3 linked regions of the Sus scrofa genome follow. The protein of the gene in region 2 interacts with the protein of the main gene of each other region in a pairwise test. Links are inferred from orthologs where the notes say so. Each region holds a gene or a part of one and is shown on either strand. Other genes may lie near its edges. The genes, in order: CSDE1, C2H11orf68 and EIF4H.

The links.
Region 1: the proteins of C2H11orf68 (region 2) and CSDE1 interact in a two-hybrid assay, tested with the Homo sapiens proteins (2 studies listed by BioGRID and IntAct). The link is inferred for Sus scrofa from reciprocal best matches to the Homo sapiens genes C11orf68 and CSDE1.
Region 3: the proteins of C2H11orf68 (region 2) and EIF4H interact in binary tests that used the Homo sapiens proteins (3 or more experiments, as listed by UniProt). The two-hybrid records come from large-scale screens. The link is inferred for Sus scrofa from reciprocal best matches to the Homo sapiens genes C11orf68 and EIF4H.

The regions. Positions count from the first base shown.
Region 1 is NC_010446.5:105,823,138-105,830,229, reverse strand, and holds part of CSDE1 (cold shock domain-containing protein E1), read right to left. Parts: intron 7,068-7,092; coding exon 6,975-7,067; intron 6,358-6,974; coding exon 6,260-6,357; intron 2,704-6,259; coding exon 2,622-2,703; intron 2,306-2,621; coding exon 2,177-2,305; intron 2,064-2,176; coding exon 1,938-2,063; intron 1,317-1,937; coding exon 1,104-1,316; intron 1-1,103. UniProt on the Homo sapiens protein: RNA-binding protein involved in translationally coupled mRNA turnover.
Region 2 is NC_010444.4:6,408,313-6,415,504, forward strand, and holds C2H11orf68 (UPF0696 protein C11orf68 homolog), read left to right. Parts: upstream 1-3,633; 5' UTR 3,634-3,719; coding exon 3,720-3,886; intron 3,887-3,936; exon of another isoform or gene 3,937-4,283; intron 4,284-4,575; coding exon 4,576-5,332; 3' UTR 5,333-5,974; downstream 5,975-7,192. Other genes in the region: DRAP1 (dr1-associated corepressor), read right to left, coding at 1,418-1,523, 1,865-1,953, 2,165-2,492, 2,774-2,867, 2,982-3,054, 3,301-3,342.
Region 3 is NC_010445.4:11,333,561-11,340,652, forward strand, and holds part of EIF4H (eukaryotic translation initiation factor 4H), read left to right. Parts: intron 1-4,061; coding exon 4,062-4,249; intron 4,250-6,630; coding exon 6,631-6,695; intron 6,696-6,781; coding exon 6,782-6,878; intron 6,879-7,092. UniProt on the Homo sapiens protein: Stimulates the RNA helicase activity of EIF4A in the translation initiation complex. Binds weakly mRNA.

The sequences.
Region 1 (7,092 bases), on a different chromosome or scaffold from region 2:
GCAGGTTCCATCCCTGGCCTTGTTCAGTGGGTTAAGGATCCAGCATTGCCATGAGCTGTGGTATAGGTTGCAGACATGGCTCAGATCAGGCATGGCTGTGACTGTGACTTATGTCAGTGGCTACAGCTCCAATTAGATCCCTAGCCTGGGAACCTCCATATGCCATGGGTGTAGCCCTAAAAAGACCAAAAAAAAAAAAAAAAAAAAAAAAAAAAAGTCTCAAGAAACTTAAATTATCATTGAATGTATACAGTTCTATTAACACCGAGATATACTGTAGATGTTATGATCCCTAACAGAACTGATAATGTTAATTCATGAAAACTGAAGTTGTAAAATATTTTTGGGCAACAATTCCCCATCTGTCACTTCTGGACATATATCCATTAAAAAGGATTTGCAAACTCCTGCTGCAAAAATAAAAGTAACAAAGACTACTTAACTTCGTTTAATCTAGTGTTTACTAAACATCTTATGGAACCTAAACATCTTATGGAAAACCTACTTTCTACAGTAATGCACTTAAATTTTTCTAGTCTTCAGATTTAATGGCCAGAGAATTACTGACTCTCAAAAGGCCTTAGAAATCATCCTCTCTAGCTCTTCATTCAAAATAAAATCTTTTCTTGGAGTTCCCGTTGTGGCACAGTGGTTAATGAATCCGACTGGGAACCATGGGGTTTTGGGTTCGATCCCTGGCCTTGCTCAGTGGGTTGAGGATCCAGCGTTGCCATGAGCTGTGGTGTGGGTTGCAGACGAGGCTCAGATCCCGAGTTGCTGTGGCTCTGGTGTCAGCCAGCAGCTACAGCTCTGATTGGACCCCTCGCCTGGGAACCTCCAAATGCCACGGGAAGCGGCCCTAGAAAAGACAAAAAAACAAAACAATACAAAACACCTTTTCTCATCCATTTCAAGACATCTAGCAGAGCTAGGAGTCAAACCCAGATTTGACTCAAATGTCTGTATTCTTATCACCTTAATGAGGTAATTACCCAATACTGTCATAACTCAAGAATTTTCAATACCATATTACGAACTTGAATATAACATTGCCCTGCCTGCCCCTTACACTGAATACGTATCTAATAATAACCAATATTTACCATTTCTCTGGCTTCATTAGTGAACTGAAATGTATTTGATAGAACTTCTATGTTGGTTGCTCGTTCTAATTTGTCACGACGGTCTGTTGAAATATTAAACCTAACATGGTCACCTTCCAGCAGGGTCACCTTGGATTTTGTATCTTTGTCTCCAAAGGGAAGTTCTTTAGGAATCACAAAATCAACTTTGATGCGTCCTGGCAATGGGTCATTCTGATGAGAAGGAAAAACTATTTTAGCTGGAGATTTCTCATCCTTCCTAGTTTTAAGTCAAACAAGAAGAACACATAGCAAACCCACGTTATTTATAATATATAATCCCCTAAAAAAAAAAAGGTGTTGATAACATAAGTCCAATGTGAAAGCCTGGTGTTCTATGGTCACATGACACAATCATAAACCACAATACTGAAGTTACAATCCTGCACTCTGATACTGAGAGATTTTATTTAAGAAAAAGAACTTCAGTATTTTATGCTTTACATTTCCTTAGCAATGATACCACTGGTTTCATCTCCTTCCCTCTGAAAAATCAAAACTGGGAAATATACACTCGAACTATTTTTTTTTCCAGTCCAACCAGCATTTTTTCTTTTGTCCCTTTCTCTGTATCATCCAGTTTTAAAAAAAAGAAAGAAAAGCATATTCATGGATATATCAATGGTTTCTTATTTAAACATACATATTAGGAAATATATGTTCTATAATCACAAAATTATATTACTTGAATGCAATACAAATTCTGTACACCGTAACCACCATATTATTCTATTACTAATGAGGCAAAAGATGATTCTTCTGAAGGAAACAAAACAAAGCAAAAAAATTATTCACCTGGTTTTTACTGGGTACTTTTGGGATAACTTTGGTTACAGTTCCTTCAAAATGTTCAATGCTAATATCTTCAAAAATGACTGTTCCTTGAGGCAAGAGTCTGACATCTGTTGCAACTTCTTTACCCTAAATCAAAAAGAGTTTAGTGGGAAGAGGGATGTCATTTTAACTGTTTCCTCAAATTTTAACTCATTACTGACCTTAAAAGAAGACCAAAGAGCCAGTTAGTCAACTCTTACATTTCTGTCCTTGATTGTGAATTCCACGTCATCTCCAGGTTGTAAGGTTTCTAAGTCACCCTTAAATTCACTATAGTGAAAGAATATCTCCTTTACAACATCACCTCTTTCAATAAAGCCAAACGCCTCCTAAAGCGAAACAAGCATGAAGAAACAGCAAAAATATTATGTACTATTCAACTTGCACACTTATGATTACCATTTACAATCAATAAGCCTTTTCATAAAACACTACTACAGTGGAAAAAGGGGTAAAGTCTAACATTAATACCATTGATGGCCCATTTTAAAGAATATAATTAGTAACCAAAAAATCTTAAGATTACCTTTGAAGTTAATGAAATATGTTTAAAAAGAAGACAAAGAAGAAAAAGAAAAGACTTGGATCTGAAGTATAAGCAGTCAAAGAAAAAAACTCAAGTTTCTCAAATTTGATAACACTTACCTTCATGGCACAAACTACTCCCTGACAACGGGCTTGTTTCTTTTTCAACAGCATAATATTACGAGCACTTACAGCACCAGTACTGGAAAAAAAAATAATGGGATGGGGATGGTGGGGACCAAACAGGGATGAAAAACAAAATGGCTTGGTTAGATCTGAGTTTAGAGAAACAATAAACAAGTTTTCTGAGGCCTCGAGAACTTTATATCATCACTAAGAGCGAATATAAAGCTTATAATACATAATTCTTTTCATATGATTCCTTATTCAAAAGACTTACTGCTCAAACTCCCTGGCCTTTTTTTTTTTTTTGTCTTTTGAGGGCTGCACCCACGACATATGGAGGTTCCCACGCTAGGGGTCATATCAGAGCTTTAGCTGCCAGCCTACGCCACAGCTCACGGCAACGCTGGAGCCTTAACCCACTGAGCAAGGCCAGGGATCGAACCCGAAACCTCATGGTTCCTAGTTGGATTCGTTTCCGCTGCGCTGAGACAGAAAGACCCTCCCTAGTCTTTTAAATCGGGCACACATACATGTAAATTGTTCTCTTGGACTATTAAAATAAGGTCATGAACTGGTTGCAACCAAAGATAGGGAATGCTAAGTTGAACAAACATTGAACAGGAACTATGTGCTCTGAACAAAGGTATGGGGGATACAGAAGTAAATAACAAATGGTCCTGTCTGCATTGAATGCTAAATCTAGTAGCTATCCCATCAATTACTTCTGATTAAATAGCCATAAAAGAAATATGAATCAACAGTGAGAAATTTGCTATACTTTGAAAAAGAATGATACTCACTTCCAGTGAAAACAGATACATCACATGTTACTATATGTCCCCATCCTTCAGCAGCAGCAATGTAAATCTGATTCTGCTTTAAAGATGGTACGGACAGTATATATAAGATGTAATAGTATTTGTTGGTGTAGTTGTTTTCAATATCTACAGACCAAGCAATTACTTTCCTTAATTCTTTATGGACAAATTTTAGCCCAACTGTTCTTTTTACTTCAAAAACTTAACAGACCAGGAGTTCCCGTCGTGGCGCAGTGGTTAACGAATCTGACTAGGAACCATGAGGTTGCAGGTTTGATCCCTGCCCTTGCTCAGTGGGTTAACGATCCGGCGTTGCCGTGAGCTGTGGTGTAGGTCGCAGACGCGGCTCGGATCCTGTGTTGCTGTGGCTCTGGCGTAGGCTGGCAGCTACAGCTCCGATTTGACCCCTAGCCTGGGAACCTCCATGTGCCGCGGGAGCGGCCCAAGAAATGGCAAAAAGACAAAAAAAAAAAAACAAAAAAAACAAAAAAAAAACTTAACAGACCAACAAAGATACTAGAAAAAAATCCTACTTGCTTTTGCAACTTACTACAGTGAAAAGGCTTTATGTAGAGCCAGACTGGCATTCCAATGTCAGTTTAAAAGCTGTATGACTTTAGGCAAGTTACTTTATGACAACAAAGCTCATTTTACAGATGAAGAAACTTATCTCAAGTGAGGCTGTTCTGAGAATTAACAACTGTACATAAAATATAGTAGTGCTTAGCACATTCAAGAACTTAACAAAGGTTATGAAGTTCCCATCATGGCTCAGTGGTTAATGAATCTGACTAGGAACCATGACGTTGCAGGTTCGATCCCTGCCCTTGCTCAGTGGGTTAAAGATCTGGCATTGCCGTGAGCTGTGGTGTAGGTCGCGGACATGGCTCGGATCCTGCATTGCTGCGGCTGTGGTGTAGGCCAGCAGCCACAGCTATGATTAGACCCCTAGCCTGGGAACCCCCATATGCCATGGGAGCGGCCCCAGAAAAGGCAAAAAGACAAAAAAACAAAACTTACTAAAGGTTAAATAAAGCCCTTTCACTGGCTCCCCACTCCCTCAAACTCAAGCCCTTTTCCCTTATTTTCTACCTGAGATTAAATTTGGCCTCAGACTAGTACTATCCATACCTACAACAAGCAGATTCCTTCTAGTCTTACAAGAGGTAAGGTTCAAAGTTAACAATTCTGCACATACTCTTGGGACTTTCCTATACTGCCAACGAGAGTCCATTCCTAACACTTTCTCCAGCTTTCTATTTTTAACTTTCTTCCCTACTTGTATCTGACTCTCTGGCTCCAAAGTAAAATAATTATGCTGGGGCTTTCTTAACTACATTTTCCCTAACTGCTTATGCCAATGAATTCAACAGCTCTATTTCCTGCCCATCACTAGCCTATACAGACATGGAGCTACATATTCAAGGTCTTCAGACACCTCAAATCCAAAATGCCAAAATAAGGACAATTCTTCTCCCCCTCTTAATACTTTGTTATGTATTAATTATTTCTGGACTTTCCTTACTCCAGTTAACAGTATCATCTATCCAGTAGCTAAAGCCAGAAAAATGGCACTTGGGACTCCCAATACCTTAGTTCCAGTACACACTTCTAAGAATCTGACCAGCATCCATTAAGACACAGGTTCAATCCCTGGCCTCACTCAGTGGGGGTAAAGGATCTGGCGTTGCTGTGGTGTAGGTTGGTAGCGAAAGCTCCAATTCGACTCCTAGCCTGGGAACCTCCATATGGCTCAGATGTGGCCCTAAAAAGACAAAAAAAAAAAAAAAAAAAAAAAACAACCCAAAACCAAAAACAACTTCTGTGGAGTTCCCTTTTGGTGGCTCAGCAATTACTGAACTGGACTAGGATCCATGAGAACGCCGGTTTGATGCCTGGCCTTGCTCAGTGGGTTAAGGGTCTGGTGTTGCCGTGAGCTGAGGTGTAGGCCAGCAGCTGTAGCTTTGATTCGACTCCTAGCGTGGGAACTTGCATACGCCACAAGAGTGGCCTTAAAAAGCAAAAAAAAAAAGTTAAAAAACTTCTCAAGATGACCTACCTTCTACATCAAAACACTCATGGCCTATCTATATTAGTCCCTCATCTTTCATATTAACTCTCGTATCACTGCCTCTAGCCTACAGCATCCCTACTCTCCAAAAGCCTACCCTATCTCCACCACTTCCAACAATTAAAACCAACCATATACCCCCCCCATTTAAAATCCTTCAAAAACTGCTATGACTAATGAGTAAAGTTCAAATTTCATCTTTCTATGATACAGTCAATTCAAACAACTCAAACTTTTGGCTACTTCTCCCAAATGATACCTCCTCTACCCAAAAGGTTTTCCTTATCTCCCTAATGAGTCCTCATCTCAAAACTTACTTCAAGCACTGATGCTTTGGAAAAACCCTTTCTGAGCTCTAGACCAGCCCCTTGAAAGCTCTGGAACTATTTTAATGTTTTAATTAGAACATAATTTATGTTTTAATTATCTACCTATTTCTTTTTTTTTTTTGGCCACATCCACTGCATCCAGAAGTTTCCAGACCACAGATCAAAGCCATGCCACAACACTGACAATGTCAGATCCTTAACGTGCCAGGCTACCAGCGAACTCTCTTTATCTTCTTATTTCGGACACCCTACAGTGCCTGTCATAGAACTGACCCTCAAATGCTTAGCTGATGAATAAAAAGTTTAAAAGATCATGAAAATTATCCAGATTTACAGGTCTGGTTTTTAATGTGCCCCAAATTTCCTACTTCAAAAAGAAAAAAAAAATCATTTAGGTGGAAAAAAAGAACTTACTGTTTATTGTTATCAATTACAAAGTTTATCTTATCTCCAGTTTCCAGCTGAACATTCCCTTCGACATCTTCAGGGGTGTAAGTCAGATAAAACACTTCCTGTGAATTAACAAGTAATTATTACTATACTGGCAGGATGCATGTTCACTGTATACTGTGATTTACTTTGTTAAATATTTCTTAAACTGGCATTTTAAGCCAGATTTTTAAAAATTAAATGCCTTTTGACAAGTACATAGTTTATTCATATAAATACACACTTCCCCTCCATGGTGCTGATGACTTCTGCGAGTCCACAGCTGAGTAGCAATCCAACTTCAAAAAGTTTAGACACGTGGAAGCATTTGCCCAAAGGCTAGTTATATTTCAAAAAAACAATTTTTATATAAGGCATTCCAAACAAAAAAGCTGGAGTTAGTGCTTAAAAGAAACCAGAAAAAAGATCCCCTCCCACAACCCCCAAAAAAGTGAGTAAAAGAAGCATTTTACCTTAATGTTCTAACTAAGGTCACACTTGGGCAAACTAAACCACTTGGAAGTCCTATGGATTTTTTTCTTTTTAAATTTGATTATGCTGCACTCAACGCTTCTTCAAAACCAAATTTAAAACTGATTTTTATCAACTGCAGCTTACGTTTTCTATTTTGAATTTTAAAGTACGCTTATAGATCACATGGTGGATCAGGCAAAGGTTTAAGAAAAATACACAAGTTTACCCCATTACGTTCGTAGCATACACTCCCTGTTGGACTCTGACCCGGGGCAGCTGGAGATTTACTCTCTAAGTTGTGAGGAACAGCGCACACAACCTACCAGTCAAAAAAAAAAAAATTT
Region 2 (7,192 bases):
AAGTGGGAGAGGCCACACTCAGAAGGGTCATGACCTCATTGTGTCTGACTGGCCAGGCTGGTGGTCCCCTCTCCTCAACCTCACAGGCTGCACAGAGGTGGTTCCCCAAAAGTAAGTACAGAGCAGGAGCAGATGAGAAGCAGATGCAAGCCACGTGCCCCCAGTTCCAGCCGCCCTGAGCCCAGGGCTGCCACCCTGCCTCCTACTTGGCGGGGAAGTCACACACTGCCAGGTAAAAACGGACACCTCGACTCTCCAGCAAACCCACGCGCCCCTTTCCCTTAGGCTGGGGGCTCGCAGGAACCCCATCTCCGGCCCTCAGTGCCCTGCCATCCCTGCAGCCCCTCCCTCACAAGCTCGCACCCCCCCCTCACCGGGAGCCGCTGCCCTCTGTGGTCTCCACCTCCAGTCCTGAGCGCTGCTTCCCCTCGCGGCCAGTCCCATCCCGCTCTCCCCGCCTCTGCTCCTCCTCCCTGGAGCCCCTGGTGGGCACCGCAGCGGCTCCTGGGGCCCCTCTGGGGTCCCCCAGGGCCCTCCCACGCTCTGCTCACACACCTGTCTCCAGCCCTGCCACCCAAGTGCCACTCCAAACCCCGCCTCAGTGGGCTCACAGCGCCCCAAATTCATCACAGCGGACCCTGTGATCTTCCTAACCCTCTTCTCCCCCGTCTCCTGGGTAGAGGAGAACCCCCACCCCCACCCCCACCCCCACCCCCACGCGAAGACACCCGAGTCCTTGAGGAGCCCCTTCCATCAGCACTCACGTCTGTGGGCAACCCGGACCTCTAGGCTGCCCATCGCTGCCCTGGCCTCTCCAGGCCGCTGCTCCCTGAACACAACACATCCGCCTCATCGGCCTCGTATGCATAGCTCCAGGGTCTGCTCAGGGCCCCTGGGGGCTCACAAGCCGGCCTTCCAGGTCCCCCATGACCTCACCTACCTCTGCTCCCGCTGCCCTTCCCACATGCCCTTCAAGGGCACTGGCTCCAGCTCTAGTTTTCAAGAGCTGTCTCTGTCACCTGTCCCATCTGTCTCTCTGCAGCAGCCCAGAGGGGGCAGAATGGTCTCCCTCAGAGAGACAAGAACAGGCTACTCAGAGTAGGAACCCGCCCAGGGTCACAGGGCACAACAAGACAGGCTGTCTCCCGGCATGACTGGCACCTGCCGGCTCAGGCCCTCCAGCACTCTGCCCACCTTCCCGCCATCAGCACCCCGGGCCCGGCCCCCTTCAGTCAGCTGCTGCCCAGCCGCCCTGGCCCTGGCTCAGTGTGGGGAAGGAGGCCATTAGGCCCTGGACAAGAGCTGGGACGGATACTGGAATTCCCTTTTATTTTTTTTTTTAATAAATTTAAGAACAGCTCTACCCTCTTCCCCCCAGAGCAGCTAAAAGGGGGTGTGGCCTGGGGGGCAGAGGGCGCTAGGAGTCATAATCTTCTTCGTCCTCTGCGTCAGGTGCTGCGGGGACCTGGGGCGCTGGGGGCAGAGGCAGAGTCGAGGTGAAGGGCGTGAAGGGTGTCGGGGGGCTGCAGGGCAGAAAGTGGGAAAGGAAGATCAGGCCACTCACCTGTGCCCAGTCCTGCCCGCTGAGCCCCACCCGGTCCTCCAGCCAGGCAGGCCTGGAGCCCACTGCCCTCTACCAGCAGGGAGCCGAGCCCAGAGAAGGGAAGGACCCAGGGCACACAGCCCTGCCCGGGGGAGGGGACTTTCTGAGAGCACAGAACCCAGCCGTTAAGTCCTCTTCAGTTCCTCCCGTCCCGTCTCCCAAATCTGCCACAACCAACAGAACCAAGGCGCCTGAGCGGTCAGAAAGGACAAGGCAGCTGGGGACCAGCTGGCCCCCTCTGGGTGCCACCGACCTGCTTACCTCTGAAAGTGGGCAGGGGGCTGGCTGGCCTGGGATGGGGCCTGTGATGTCTCCTCTTCCCCATCAGTATCTGTATCCTCAGACTCATCCTGGGAACAAGACAGGAATCAGAGGCGACAAGAAAGGCGTGGGCCCATTACTGGAAAGCCGGACCTCTGCAGCCGCCATGTGCAAGGCAACCAACACAAAGAGGTCACAGGTGAGGATGGGACCAGGCCTCCAGCCAGCTGGGCCTGGCCTGATGCAAGGCTGCCCTCTCCACCCTGCAAGGCAGGACAGAGGGCTGGGGCCTCAGCTCACCTCCTGCTCCGAGTCTGTCCCCGACAGCTTCTTGTCCTTGCCTTTGCTTCCCATGCCACCGTTCTTCCGGCTGCCGCCGCCTGGCTTCCGGCCCCTTCGGGAAGGTGGAGTCCATCTGCCCAGAGGTCTCCCCACTCCTCTGCCATCCCCCAAGACACCTCCAACCCCGGGGGCCTTGGCCTTCCCCACATGGACACTGACTCCCCACCTGCGAGGACCCTTGTCCCCGTCCATGTGGTTGTCTTCCCCATCTCCCTGCATGTCAGGCACAGAGGCCACCAGATCCTTTAAGAAGTCAAACTGCTGCTCCAGCTCAATGCACTGCTTCCTGGAAGAGGTGGGGAGGGAATGGCACTCAGGTGAGGCACAGATGTCTGTACTCTCAGCAAAGTGCTCTCTGGATGTCAGGGGAACAGAGCCTGGATCGTTTCAATCCCAGCCATGCCCCCTTTCTTAGAATACCCAGTCCCTGCCAACTCAAACCTACCAGCCTTTGAGTCCTCGCCCAGCCGCCTCCCACCTCCCTCCCTATCAGGGCACAGCCTCCCCTAAGCGTGTGGACTCCGGGCGGAGGCCCCACACGAGCCCTCCCAGATCGGAGCCACTCACAGGTGGGATGTGGTCATGGTCTTGGCATTTCTAGACTGGGTCACTTGGCAGGCCTTCTTCAGCAGTGACTCCAGGAAAAGCTCGAGCGCCCGAGCTGAGGGTCGTCAAGGCGAACGCGGGTTCTAACAATGTCCTGGCCCCCAAAAAGCGACCCGGGGCTGCCGGCCTCCCCCGCCTCCCTCAACCCAGCCAGCCCTCGACAGGATACAGATGATGACAGGCACAGCTGCCGCCACCTTCCCAATCTCTTCATCCGTCTGCATTATCTTCTTGATGCGTGCCTGAGGAAGGGGCAGAGAGCTCGGACCCCGTCGCCGCGGCCCCCGAAAGGGTGCGCGGGGCGGGGGGCAGAGAGAGGGAGCATCCCGGGAGGAAGGGGGCGGGGGGCACCGACGCGGAGAGGGCACGGAAGGGGGCGGGGCGTCCGGGCCCCCGAACGGCGCGATGCGCCCGCCTCCCTGGCCGGGCCTGGGCCGGAGCCTCCCGAGAGCCCGGCTCGTTCCTCCCGAGGCCGGCCACGTGCTCACCGGCGGGAACCGCGCGTTGTACTTCTTCTTCTTGCTCGGCATCTCGGGGCCTCTCTCGCCGCGCCGGGCCCAGCGCCGCCGCCCGCAGCCTCCCGGCCCCCGGGCCTGCTCGTCGCCCGCCCGCCGCGGTTCCCCCGGGTCCTGGTGCCGCCTCCTCCGCCCCCGCCACTCCCCCCACAGGGTCCTAGCGCCGCCGGTCAGCACTCGGCCGGCGGGGCCCGAGCGCCCTCCCCTCACAGCCTCCCGCCCGGTGCGCGTCTGTCCGGGACTGGACGGCCGCGACCGCCCGCCCCCAAGACCTGAAGAGCGAACGTTAGCTCCGCCCCCCGCAGGCCCGCCCCGCCTCGCGTTCCCAATGGCCCCGCCCCCGGGGTCAGCACCGCCCCGACGGCCCTGCCCCTTCCCCCCGGTCCCGCCCTATGCTGCGCTTGTCTATAAAGTTGTTGTTGAGGCGGCGGGGCAATAAGATGGCGGCGGCGGCTGCAGCCGTGGCGGGGGCGGGGCGCGGCGGCGGCGGCGCGGAGCCCCGGCAGGAGCGGAGCCGGGCCCGGGGCTGGGCCGGCGCCGAGCGCAGCGAAGGCCGGAGGTGACGCCCGGGCGGCGGGAGGGGGCAGGGCGGGGCGGGGCAGGGGCGCTGCTCGGGCCGTGAGCACTAATGGCGGCGGGCGCGGCGGGCGCGGCGGGGCGGGAGGCTGGCCCTCCCGCAGGCTCTAACAAGCCTGGGTTCGAGTCCGGGCTCGGCCCGTTGGCCTCGGATTGGTCACTGCCCTCTCTGGCCTGCATGTCTTCGTCTTTAAGTAGGCGGGATAACGCCCGCCTGGAGGCCTGGCCCTGTGGGGCCTGTCGGGGTGCCTCGTTCCATTACATCCCAGCGCCCGGGAGACCCGCCTGCCTTGGCAGCGTCGGGAGCCGCAGCTGGGCCGGCGGCCCCCACACCCGAGTTCACTTTTCGGCCCTTTCACGCACTGCAGGTGTGACCTTGGGTAAGCCCCCTCCTCTGTGAGCTTCAGTTTCCTACTCTGTAGGTCAAGGATAGTAGTGATAATAGTAACAGCATTTATATAGTTCTTGTTCCACCTCCTAGTATTTAATTCTCTACAGCTGTTTGAGACGGGAGCAGCTATTTTTCATTGTACAGATGAGGCAACTGAGGCACAGAGACATTAAGTTTTGCCCAAGGCCGCAGGGATTAGTTCAGTGCCTGGCACCTACGTGCTCAGGCCCAGGAAGCTGGATCTGTCCTGGACCTGCCCTAACTTGGTTCCCACCCGGCAGGATGGAACCAGGCGAGGAGCTGGAGGATGAAGATTCTCCAGGTGGTCGTGAAGATGGCTTCACTGCTGAGCACCTGGCCGCAGAGGCCATGGCAGCTGACATGGACCCCTGGCTGGTGTTTGATGCCCGAACCACACCTGCCACGGAGCTGGATGCCTGGTTGGCCAAGTACCCACCATCCCAGGTTACCCGCTATGGGGACCCTGGCTCTCCCAACTCTGAGCCCGTGGGCTGGATTGCAGCATATGGGCAGGGCTATGTCCCCAACTCAGGCGACGTGCAGGGCCTGCAGGCAGCCTGGGAGGCTCTGCAGACCAGCGGGCGCCCCGTCACACCAGGTACCCTGCGCCAGCTGGCCATCACCCACCACGTGCTCTCGGGCAAATGGCTGATACACCTGGCACCTGGCTTCAAGCTGGATCACGCCTGGGCTGGCATTGCTCGAGCCGTGGTCGAGGGCCGGCTTCAGGTAGCCAAGGTGAGCCCACGGGCCAAGGAGGGTGGGCGGCAGGTCATCTGTGTTTATACGGACGACTTCACGGACCGCTTGGGTGTACTGGAGGCAGATGCCGCCATCCGCGCGGCAGGCATTAAGTGTCTGCTCACCTACAAGCCTGACGTCTACACCTACCTGGGTATCTACCGGGCCAACCGCTGGCACCTCTGCCCCACTCTCTATGAGAGCCGTTTCCAGCTGGGAGGCAGCGCCCGTGGCTCCCGGGTGCTGGACCGCGCCAACAACGTGGAGCTGACCTAGTGGGACCAAATGGAAGAGACCACCCACTGCCTCCCCTGCGGGGGACGGATCCTCTCGTCTTCCCCCTCCTCGTCCCACGGAGGCCAAGCCCCCCAGCTCTGAGGACTAGGTTACTCGGAAACTGCCTGCATCTTCGGTCCCTTTGAACTTTGGTCCTGTGTTCAGGGCTGACTCGAGTCCTCACTGGCTGGAGGCTCTGGCTCCCTGAGGGCCGGACCCTCAGCCTCTCTTTGCCGCTGCTCCCCCCTGTCATCCAGGACCACGGGCTGGGTGCAGACGCCAGGAGGAGAGCCTGCCTTGGCTGCTCCCTCCCCTGGCTCTTCCCTCCTCCTGCATCCTCCCCTTCTCTCCCTCCCTCACAAGAGAGACAGCCTCGTGCTTCCATCCCTCTCCCTGGAGCCTTCACGGTCTAGGGGCAGAGGCCCCCGCAGGCCTGAGCATGCCATTTTGTTGGGGACGGGTGATTGTTCCCACTCAGCACCTGGCAGAGAGAGGGGGCCAGGGCCATGGACATGGGGCCTGCCCCTCCCTGCCACCTCAGAGCCCCTACCACCTTCCCTCTTTCTTTGGCTACCTTATCATGTGCCTGCTTCTGGCATTTCAATAAAACCCAACTTGGGTCTGTGTCTTGAGTGTTTAAAATGCTGTGCTGGTGGTTTCCTGCTTTGGTCGCTGGAGAGAGGCAGGGCCAGCAGAAACTGTGCCTGGGCCCCATAATTGCCAAGGCTGGATACCTCTCTGAGAGCTTCTGCAAAGCCAGCTCTGTGTCCCTTCCATTCCCAGAATCAGAATCCATTTGGGGGTAATCTCAGTGATGACCCATAAATCCAAGGGCTTGGCCCAGCAGCTCTGAGGAACTGTGCCCACTGGGCGTATGTGTGTCTGTTAGAGAAAGGTACCCTTTTGGTCCTGACAGTTTTAGGCCAGGGCATATGGTCTGGTGGGCAGAGGATGGGTTGGGTTTCTGCTGCCTAAGCTGGATATCCTTGTGCAGTGAACAACCTGCACAACCGTAAGTAGCCCTGGAAGTCCTTCGTTTACACTCACCTCTTGCACTACCCTGAACATCGCAGAGGCCACTAGACTGTTTGCAAAGCACTTCATGTGGATTATTTCATTCTCGCGACCTGACAGGAGATTTTGACCCAATTTATGGTCAAGAAAATGGAGCCCAAGAGGAGAAGGGCGTTCCCTCAGGGTTATGCAGTGAGCTGGGCAGGGCAGAGTTAGAACTTGCACCCCAGTCCTCCTTGGGCAGAGTGTGGTCCCTGGCCTCACCTACAATTAGCCCTTCACAGCCCAGCAGCCACGTTCACTCACGTGACCTCACAGGCCCACACCACTCAGCTGAGGCTGCTATGGCTTCTGGCTCCCAGCCCCCAGCCCCAGCCCTGGCTTTGGCCTTGATTGGAGGCCAGGGTGTCTGGCAGGGAGCCCCTTGGGCTGCTGCTCTCGTGCTGTGCAGGCGCTGACTCAGCCTCCAGCAGCCTCATCAAATTGGAATGTGGGACAGGGGAGCGGAGATGCCACTAGGCTGACTGGGTGGAAGTGGGTGAGTCACAAGATGCTGGCTTGGCCCCCTCCCCAGCTTCCTCCCCACCCGGAGCTTCCCCAGAGCTGAGTCCCCCTCAGCCCAATCCTGGGAAGTCCCCAGAGTTGGGTGGTTGAGTTGGAGCCTGGTGCCCTGCTCTCCTCAGACTGTCCGTGCCTTGCACTTGACCAAAGTGGGCCAAGGCTTGGAGGGATCCTGGCCAGGCCCCCGTGGGCCCCACAAAGATGCCCAAGTGGTGTCAGCACCAGCTGGCTCTCCTTCCATAACCAAGCATCTCGCATACTCTATCCTCCCAAGGCTCTGCCTTA
Region 3 (7,092 bases), on a different chromosome or scaffold from region 2:
TGGGCCGGTGACTTCAGCTCCAATTCCACCCCTGGCCTAGGAATTTACCTATGCCATGGGTGCAGCCCTAAAAAGACCAAAAAAAAAAAAAAAAATTGTTTCCCAGAAATAACAGCACGTGTCCTTTATTTTTTATTGTATTTTACTGATATATTTTTATACTTTGGAAGCAGGTCTTGAGCACTTGATCTTCTGTTTCAGCCGCTTACCAAATCTAATCTCAGCCCTAATATTCTCTTCTCTTCTTTTTTTCTTGTAGTCATGCTTCCTCTAATCTCTCCTATGTATCTTCACTTATATGTTACCATCTTAGACTTCAGTGTTTTGTCTGCTGTCTGGAAAATAGAATCCAATTTCCTTTTGCTCAAATGGTGCACCCTGCTTTCTCCTGAATTTTCTGCAGTCCTTTACTTGGGATGTGATTTACCCTTTCTAGGTGCCTGGACCCCCTTGGCTGAATTATGGTCTCCTTGAGGGTAGGAACCGAATCTCAGGTTTGTGCCCTCAGCATGGTGCTCCGTATTTAATAGACATTGTTACTTTATTGATTTGAATGAAGAAAAGTGATTTGTCTGTAATGGGTTTTGGAAAATCGCACCTGGAGTTGAAAGTTGAATTTCTTAAATTACTGAGGATATAGTCATTACTTTTAAAATTTGCATATAGACTGTCTCCTATGGGCAGCAGTAATGAGCAGGGGGGACCATTGCTCAGCGGTGGGGGTGATAGGGCCTGGGAATTAGCAGCACAGATTATCAGGTCTCTCTTTGTTGTCGTCGTCCTTTTAGGGATGCACCTGCCAGCTTGTGGAAGTTCGCAGGCTAGGGGTCGCATTGGAGCTACAGCTGCTGGCCTACACCACAGCCACAGCTACGCTGGATCGTTAATGCACTGAGGGAGGCCAAGTATCAAACCCTCATCCTGATGGGTACTAGTCAGGTTCGTTTCCACTGAGCCATGGCGGGCACTCCAGGTCTCTTTTTCTGAACTGCAGGGTTGGGGGACGGGGAGGTGTCTACCCAGACCTCCAGCTTTGCCTCATCTGTTGGCCTATTTTCTTTTCTTTTCTTTTCTTTTTTTTAACCGCATCTGTAGTTGTATAATGATCATCCCAATCCAGTTTCACAGGATGTTGGCCTGTTTTATATACCACAGGTCAGTCTGCTGCTTCCTGACCATTGTATTCTGAAGCAGGCCTAATCTACCATAGACTTCACACAATTGATATTATGGGGTTTTTCTTTTTTTTGGCTACCCCTCGGCATATGGAGTTCCCAGGCCAGGGATCAGACTGCAGCTGCAAGTGTAACCTATGCTGCAACTGCAGCACCACCTGGTCCTTTTTAACCCACGGTGTCAATCAAACCTGTGTCCAGTCACTGCAGAGATGCCACTGATCCCATTGCACCACAGCGGGAACGCCATACCTCCATTTTCTTTTTTTTTTTTCTTTTTTTTTTTTGTCTTTTTGCCATTTCTTGGGCCGCTCCCGTGGCATATGGAGGTTCCCAGGATAGGGGTCGAATCAGAGCTGTAGATCCTTAACCCACTGAGTAAGGCCAGGGATCGAACTGGCATCTTTATGGATGCTAATCAGGTTCGTTAACCACTGTGCCACCACGGGAACTCCCCAAATGTTATTTGGTATCTTACACGTTCAATATCCAGTCCCAAAGAATATCTTGCTGAAAATATTTTAGGTTTTATGGTTATGGGAATGCAGAATAAGTAAACTTATAAACCACATTTGCAGCCAAAAAGAAATTTATCTATCAAACACTTTGAACTTCAGGTTGTAGATGGCGGTGGTCACTGCTGCTGTGATGGTCACTTGAAAACCTATTTTTCTGGTATTTCTAGGACAGAATGAAGGATTTTCTATTGGGAAGTAGCAGAGTTCTGAGTTATTAAACTTAAATTTTTTAGCTAAGGATTATATCATAGCCTGGTCCTTCTGCTTTAAAAAAAAAGTGTTGGAGTTCCCATTGTGGCTCAGCAAACCCAACTGGTATCCATGGGAATGCAGGTTCTATCCCTGGCCCCACTCTGGGTTAAGGATCCATTGTTGCCATGAGCTGCAGTGTAGGTTACAGACATGGCTGGGATCTGGCGTGGCTGTGGCCAGCAGCTGCAGCTCTGGTTTGACCCCTAGCCTGGAAACTTCCATGGCTTAACCTCTTCTGCCATGGGTGTGGCCCTAAAAAGCAAAAAACAAAAAACAAAAAACAAAACCTTGCCCTCACAAATGCATAGGGGGACAGCTTCCCTGCTATCTACTGCTTCCCCAGAGTAGAGCAGTACACTTGTCCCGTCAGTGAACCTGCATCGATAGTGTCATTATCACTAAGTTACGTTAAGGTTCTCTCTTGGTGCTGAACATTCTATGGGCTTTGACAAATGTATAATGGCCCCATTTATTTGTTAATTATTGGAGTTCTCTTGTGGCTCAGTGGGTTAAGGATCCAGCGTTATGAGTGCTGTGGCTCGGGTTACAGCTGTGGCATTGGTTCATTCCCTGCGTGCCCAGGAACTTCTGCATGCCACATTTGCAGCCAAAAAGAAATTTATCTGTCAAACACTTTGAACCTCAGGTTGTAGATGGCAGTGGTCACTGTTGCGGTGATGGTCACTGCTACTCTGCGTATGTGTACTGTGTGTCAGGCAGTATATGGAGCACCTTGTATTATTTCTCAATAATTCAAGGTCTTGGTTAGTATAAACCCAGATTTCCAAATAAAGTTTAGAGAAATTGAGTAACTCCTCAAGGTTATATGGTGGTGTGCATATGTGGCAGAGCTGGGATTTAAACCAGTACCCCTGCAAATTAGCAATGATGTGGTAAGAGTCAAGTTATCTCGCCTTTGCCACTTTTAAACCCTACAACCATGGACAAGTAAACACCTCTTGTCATAGCTAAGGAAGTGACATTGAGGTTTAAATGGATTAATATGCACCCTAAAATTGAGGCCTCAGGGGAGTTCCCATCGTGACTCAGTGGTTAGCGAATCCGACTAGGAACCATGAGGTTGCGGGTTCAATGCCTGGCCTTGCTCAGTGGGTTAAGGATCCGGTGTTGCCGTGAGCTGTGGTGTAGGTTGCAGATGTGGTTCGGATCCCGTGTTGCTGTGGCTCTGGCGTAGGCAGGCAGCTACAGCTCCAATACGACCCCTAGTCTGGGAACCTCCATGTGCCGCCTGAGCGGCCCAAGAAGTGGCAGAAAGACCAGAAAAATAAATAAATAAATATAAGATAAAATAAAATTGAAGCGTCAGGGAGGCAGTACATGGAGTGGAGAGTGGTATTTACACGGTACTTGCTCCACAAACGCTAATAACTTTTTTTTTTTTTTTTTTGGCTTTTTTGGCTTTTCTAGGGCCGCTCCCGTGGTGTATGGAGGTTGCCAGGCTAGGGGTCGAATTGGAGCCGTAGCCACCAGCCTACGCCAGAGCCACAGCAACGTGGGATCCGAGCCGCATCTGCAACCTACACCACAGCTCACGGCAACGCCGGATCGTTAACCCACTGAGCAAGGCCAGGGATCGAACCCTCAACCTCATGGTTCCTAGTCAGATTCGTTAGCCGCTGAGCCACCCCGAGAACTCTGCTAATAACATTTCTGTTAGAGCATAGCATCTCTAATCAGACCGTAGCAAGACAGTTGTATTATGAATGTGTCAAACTTCAGCTTCAGGGCAGTAAGTGGACAGTCTGTTTCTGTGTGTGTCAGCACTGAGTATGAGGGAGGGCACTGGCTGAACTTCTCTCCTCCTACAAGGATAGGAGAGAACCATTACAGGAGGATGTTATATTTGGATTTGATTTTTCAGGGAAATGTATGTCGACATAGATTCTGTGTTTCTGTGGACATTTCTGTCATCCACAAGTAAGCACCTTTTTCATAGGTGATTTTTTTGGAATACACGTCATCATTTCGGAAGTAGTTGTATGCATTAGATAGGACTATTTCACCTGGGTGGTGTGGCTGAGTGGGAGATGTTTTCCTTGGCCCTCTGGGGCAGGAACAGGTGGTCAGACTTGAATCCTGTCTGTTTCCCTCCTAGGTCCCGTGGCAGTGCTGGTGGCCATGGTTCCCGTAGCCAGAAGGAGCTGCCCACAGAGCCCCCCTACACAGCCTATGTAGGAAATCTACCTTTTAATACGGTTCAGGGCGACATAGATGCTATCTTTAAGGATCTCAGCATAAGGAGTGTACGGCTAGTCAGAGACAAAGACACAGACAAATTTAAAGGTGAGTTTGGGGATTTTTTACTGTGCACTATTTTAGGCAGGGAAGGGTCTAAACCAAGAGGCTGTAATTGTGAAAGTGTTTCAAACATTTGCCTGATCCAGGCAGATAAAATAAGCTAGCCCTTTAACTCATAGGTCTTCAGTTCTGTTGCGGGTGGAGGGGACATGGTTTATACATAATCTAGCTTGTAGAATTAGGTAGCCTATAGCCAAGTAAATCTGGAGTTTGCCTGGCCTATATAGTAGCCTGTCTCTGCCAGAAAAGGAGTTACTGCACAATAAATGAATGGTTAAAACCCAGGACTTTTCAGGTGCATCGCACCTTGGCTGACACATGCATTTTCCTTGGTGGTGTTCCCATAATCTAGTTTATTATGGAGTCCAAAAGGGAACCTAGTGCACGTTGTCATTATACACTTGTGACTTCAGAGCCTGCGTGTGGGGAGGGGTTGACTCAAACTGCAGGTTAATCACGGGTAGAGAAGGGGTGAGAATGAGGAATCACATGGGCATTGTCATCGCTTGCAAGGCTTCCGGAACCAAAATGCCCTGTATTTCAGTGTGTGGTGCAAGATACAGGGCATTTGGTTTGCTTTATTACCCAGAAAGAAGTGTGTTCATGAAAAGTAGAGGGACTGGGGTGTACAAGAAGCATAGCTGCTGCTCATCAGAGTGGCTCTGTATATATTTTTGTCATTTTGAAAGCTTTCTGACTTAAGAACCTAAAGAAGGCCTTGTTATAGTAAGTGAGCAGACAGTGGAAACAAACATCAGTAAAGCTGGTAAAGGTAAGTCCCACTGCTGGGAAGCCTTAAGAACCAATTGTAAGGTAAAAATGTGTGGGTGAAGCTGCCTTTTGGGTTGGGTCGGTAGCAGCAGGTTTTAGAGTTTGTCTCATAGAAGGGCAGAGGTAGTTTCAGTAGCTCCAGGATGTGAGATGTGTGACTAGGCTGGTGTTGCCTCTTTGAACTTGGAAGTGGTTTTCTCACTTCCCTGAACAGTGAATGAATCCACTGAGGGGAATTGGCTTGATGGGGAGAGGGGAGCTCCACCTAAGTAGTATATTCCTTTTTTTTTTTTTTTTTTTTTTTTTTTTTTTTTTTTTTTTTGCTTTTCAGGGCCACAGCCATGGCATATGGAGGTTCCCGAGCTAGGGGTCAAATCGGAGCTGTACCTGCTGGCCTACCGTACAGCTTACAGCAATGCTGGATCCTTAACCCACTGAGCGAGGGCTGGGATCGAACTCACAACCTTATGGTTCCTAGCGGGATTCTTTTCCACTGCGCCATGACGGGAACTCCTATGCAGTATATTCTTTACATAAGCACATGGTGAACAAAAAAGTTTGGCCTCAGGCTTTTGAAGCACTTGCAGTTTAATGGGCTTTGAAGGTGAAGTGTCATCATCATACAGCATGGGGAGGGGTGGTAATAGAGGTGCAGTGAGCATACGGGGCAGAGGGAGTGTTTGACCCAGATGGCAAGGAAGGGGCATGGACACGAATGCTGAAGGTAGAAGGAAAGGCTTATTCCTTCAAGGTGAGAAAGAGGGCGGGGTTTCCTCTGTCTGGAGTTCTCTGCTTACAGGCCTCTGTCAGAATCTAGCATCAGGGACTCAGGTTGTCCGTAAAGCATGCTTGCATCTCCGTCCGCTCTCCTTAATTAATTGGCATCCCAAGGAAGATGCACTTGTTGCCAAGGGTATATGTTTTTTTATGCAGCTCCCTGAGTAGTGAGTATAGGTAGATTTAGCCTTTTCCTTCAAAGCATGTTTGGTATCGAATTTGCAGTCTGTGTCTTAAAGCCCCTCTTGGGTTATATTGAAGTCATTCAGAGTCAGAACTAACAGCTCTTCAGTGACCCAAGGAAGGCAGGTCACTGAAGACCTGTTATATTTAATTCATTAGTATAAAGACACAGCTGCCATTTCAGTGCCTACTTGATTAGCAGTTTCTGCTAGAACATAATAAAAAGGGGCAAAAAGGAATATAATTAAGAGGGGAATTAACCATCGTGGCGAAACAGAAAAGAATCTGACTGGGAACCATGAGGTTGCCGGTTCGATCTCTGGCCTTGCTCAGTGGGATCTGGCATTGCTGTGGCTGTGATGTAGGCCGGCAGCCACAGATCTGATTCAGCCCCTAGCCTGAGAACCTCCATATGCGGCGGGTGCAGCCCTAAAAAGCAAAAAAAAAAAAGGGTTGGGGGGGATATTAGTCAAGTTCTGTTTATTGAAAAGTGAAATATGCTCTTTTAGGTTCTTCAGTCTACTGCCATCTGGACAGAACAAAAAGTGGTAGTTTGGATATAGGGAAATAGTACAGACCCCTCATCTTTAACCCAGAATTGCTTGAGAAAATTGAAGTGTGTTTTCTCTTAACAGGATTCTGCTATGTAGAGTTTGATGAAGTGGATTCCCTTAAGGAAGCCTTGACATACGATGGTGCAGTAAGTACACTCAGGCTTTCTCTGTGGTATTAGCAGGTGAGTTTTTTCCTTGCCAATACTGAACAGTATTTTCTCCTTATCATTAGCTCTTGGGTGACCGGTCACTTCGTGTGGACATTGCAGAAGGCAGAAAACAAGACAAAGGCGGCTTTGGATTCAGGAAAGGTGGACCAGATGACAGAGGTGATTGGTTCTTCTCCAGCTGAATGTAAAACTTGCTGTCTGCCCCCTGATGACAGCCCTGGAAGGTTACCAGTAGAACTCTGTCATGGGTCTGATAGGTGCTCATGAGCTTTTAAAAACCTGTGAAGTCTTAGAATGAATGATGCTTCTGCAAGCCTGGGTTTTTTGGTTTTTGGCTTTTGGTTTTGTTTTTGTTTTTTTTCTTTCTTCCCAT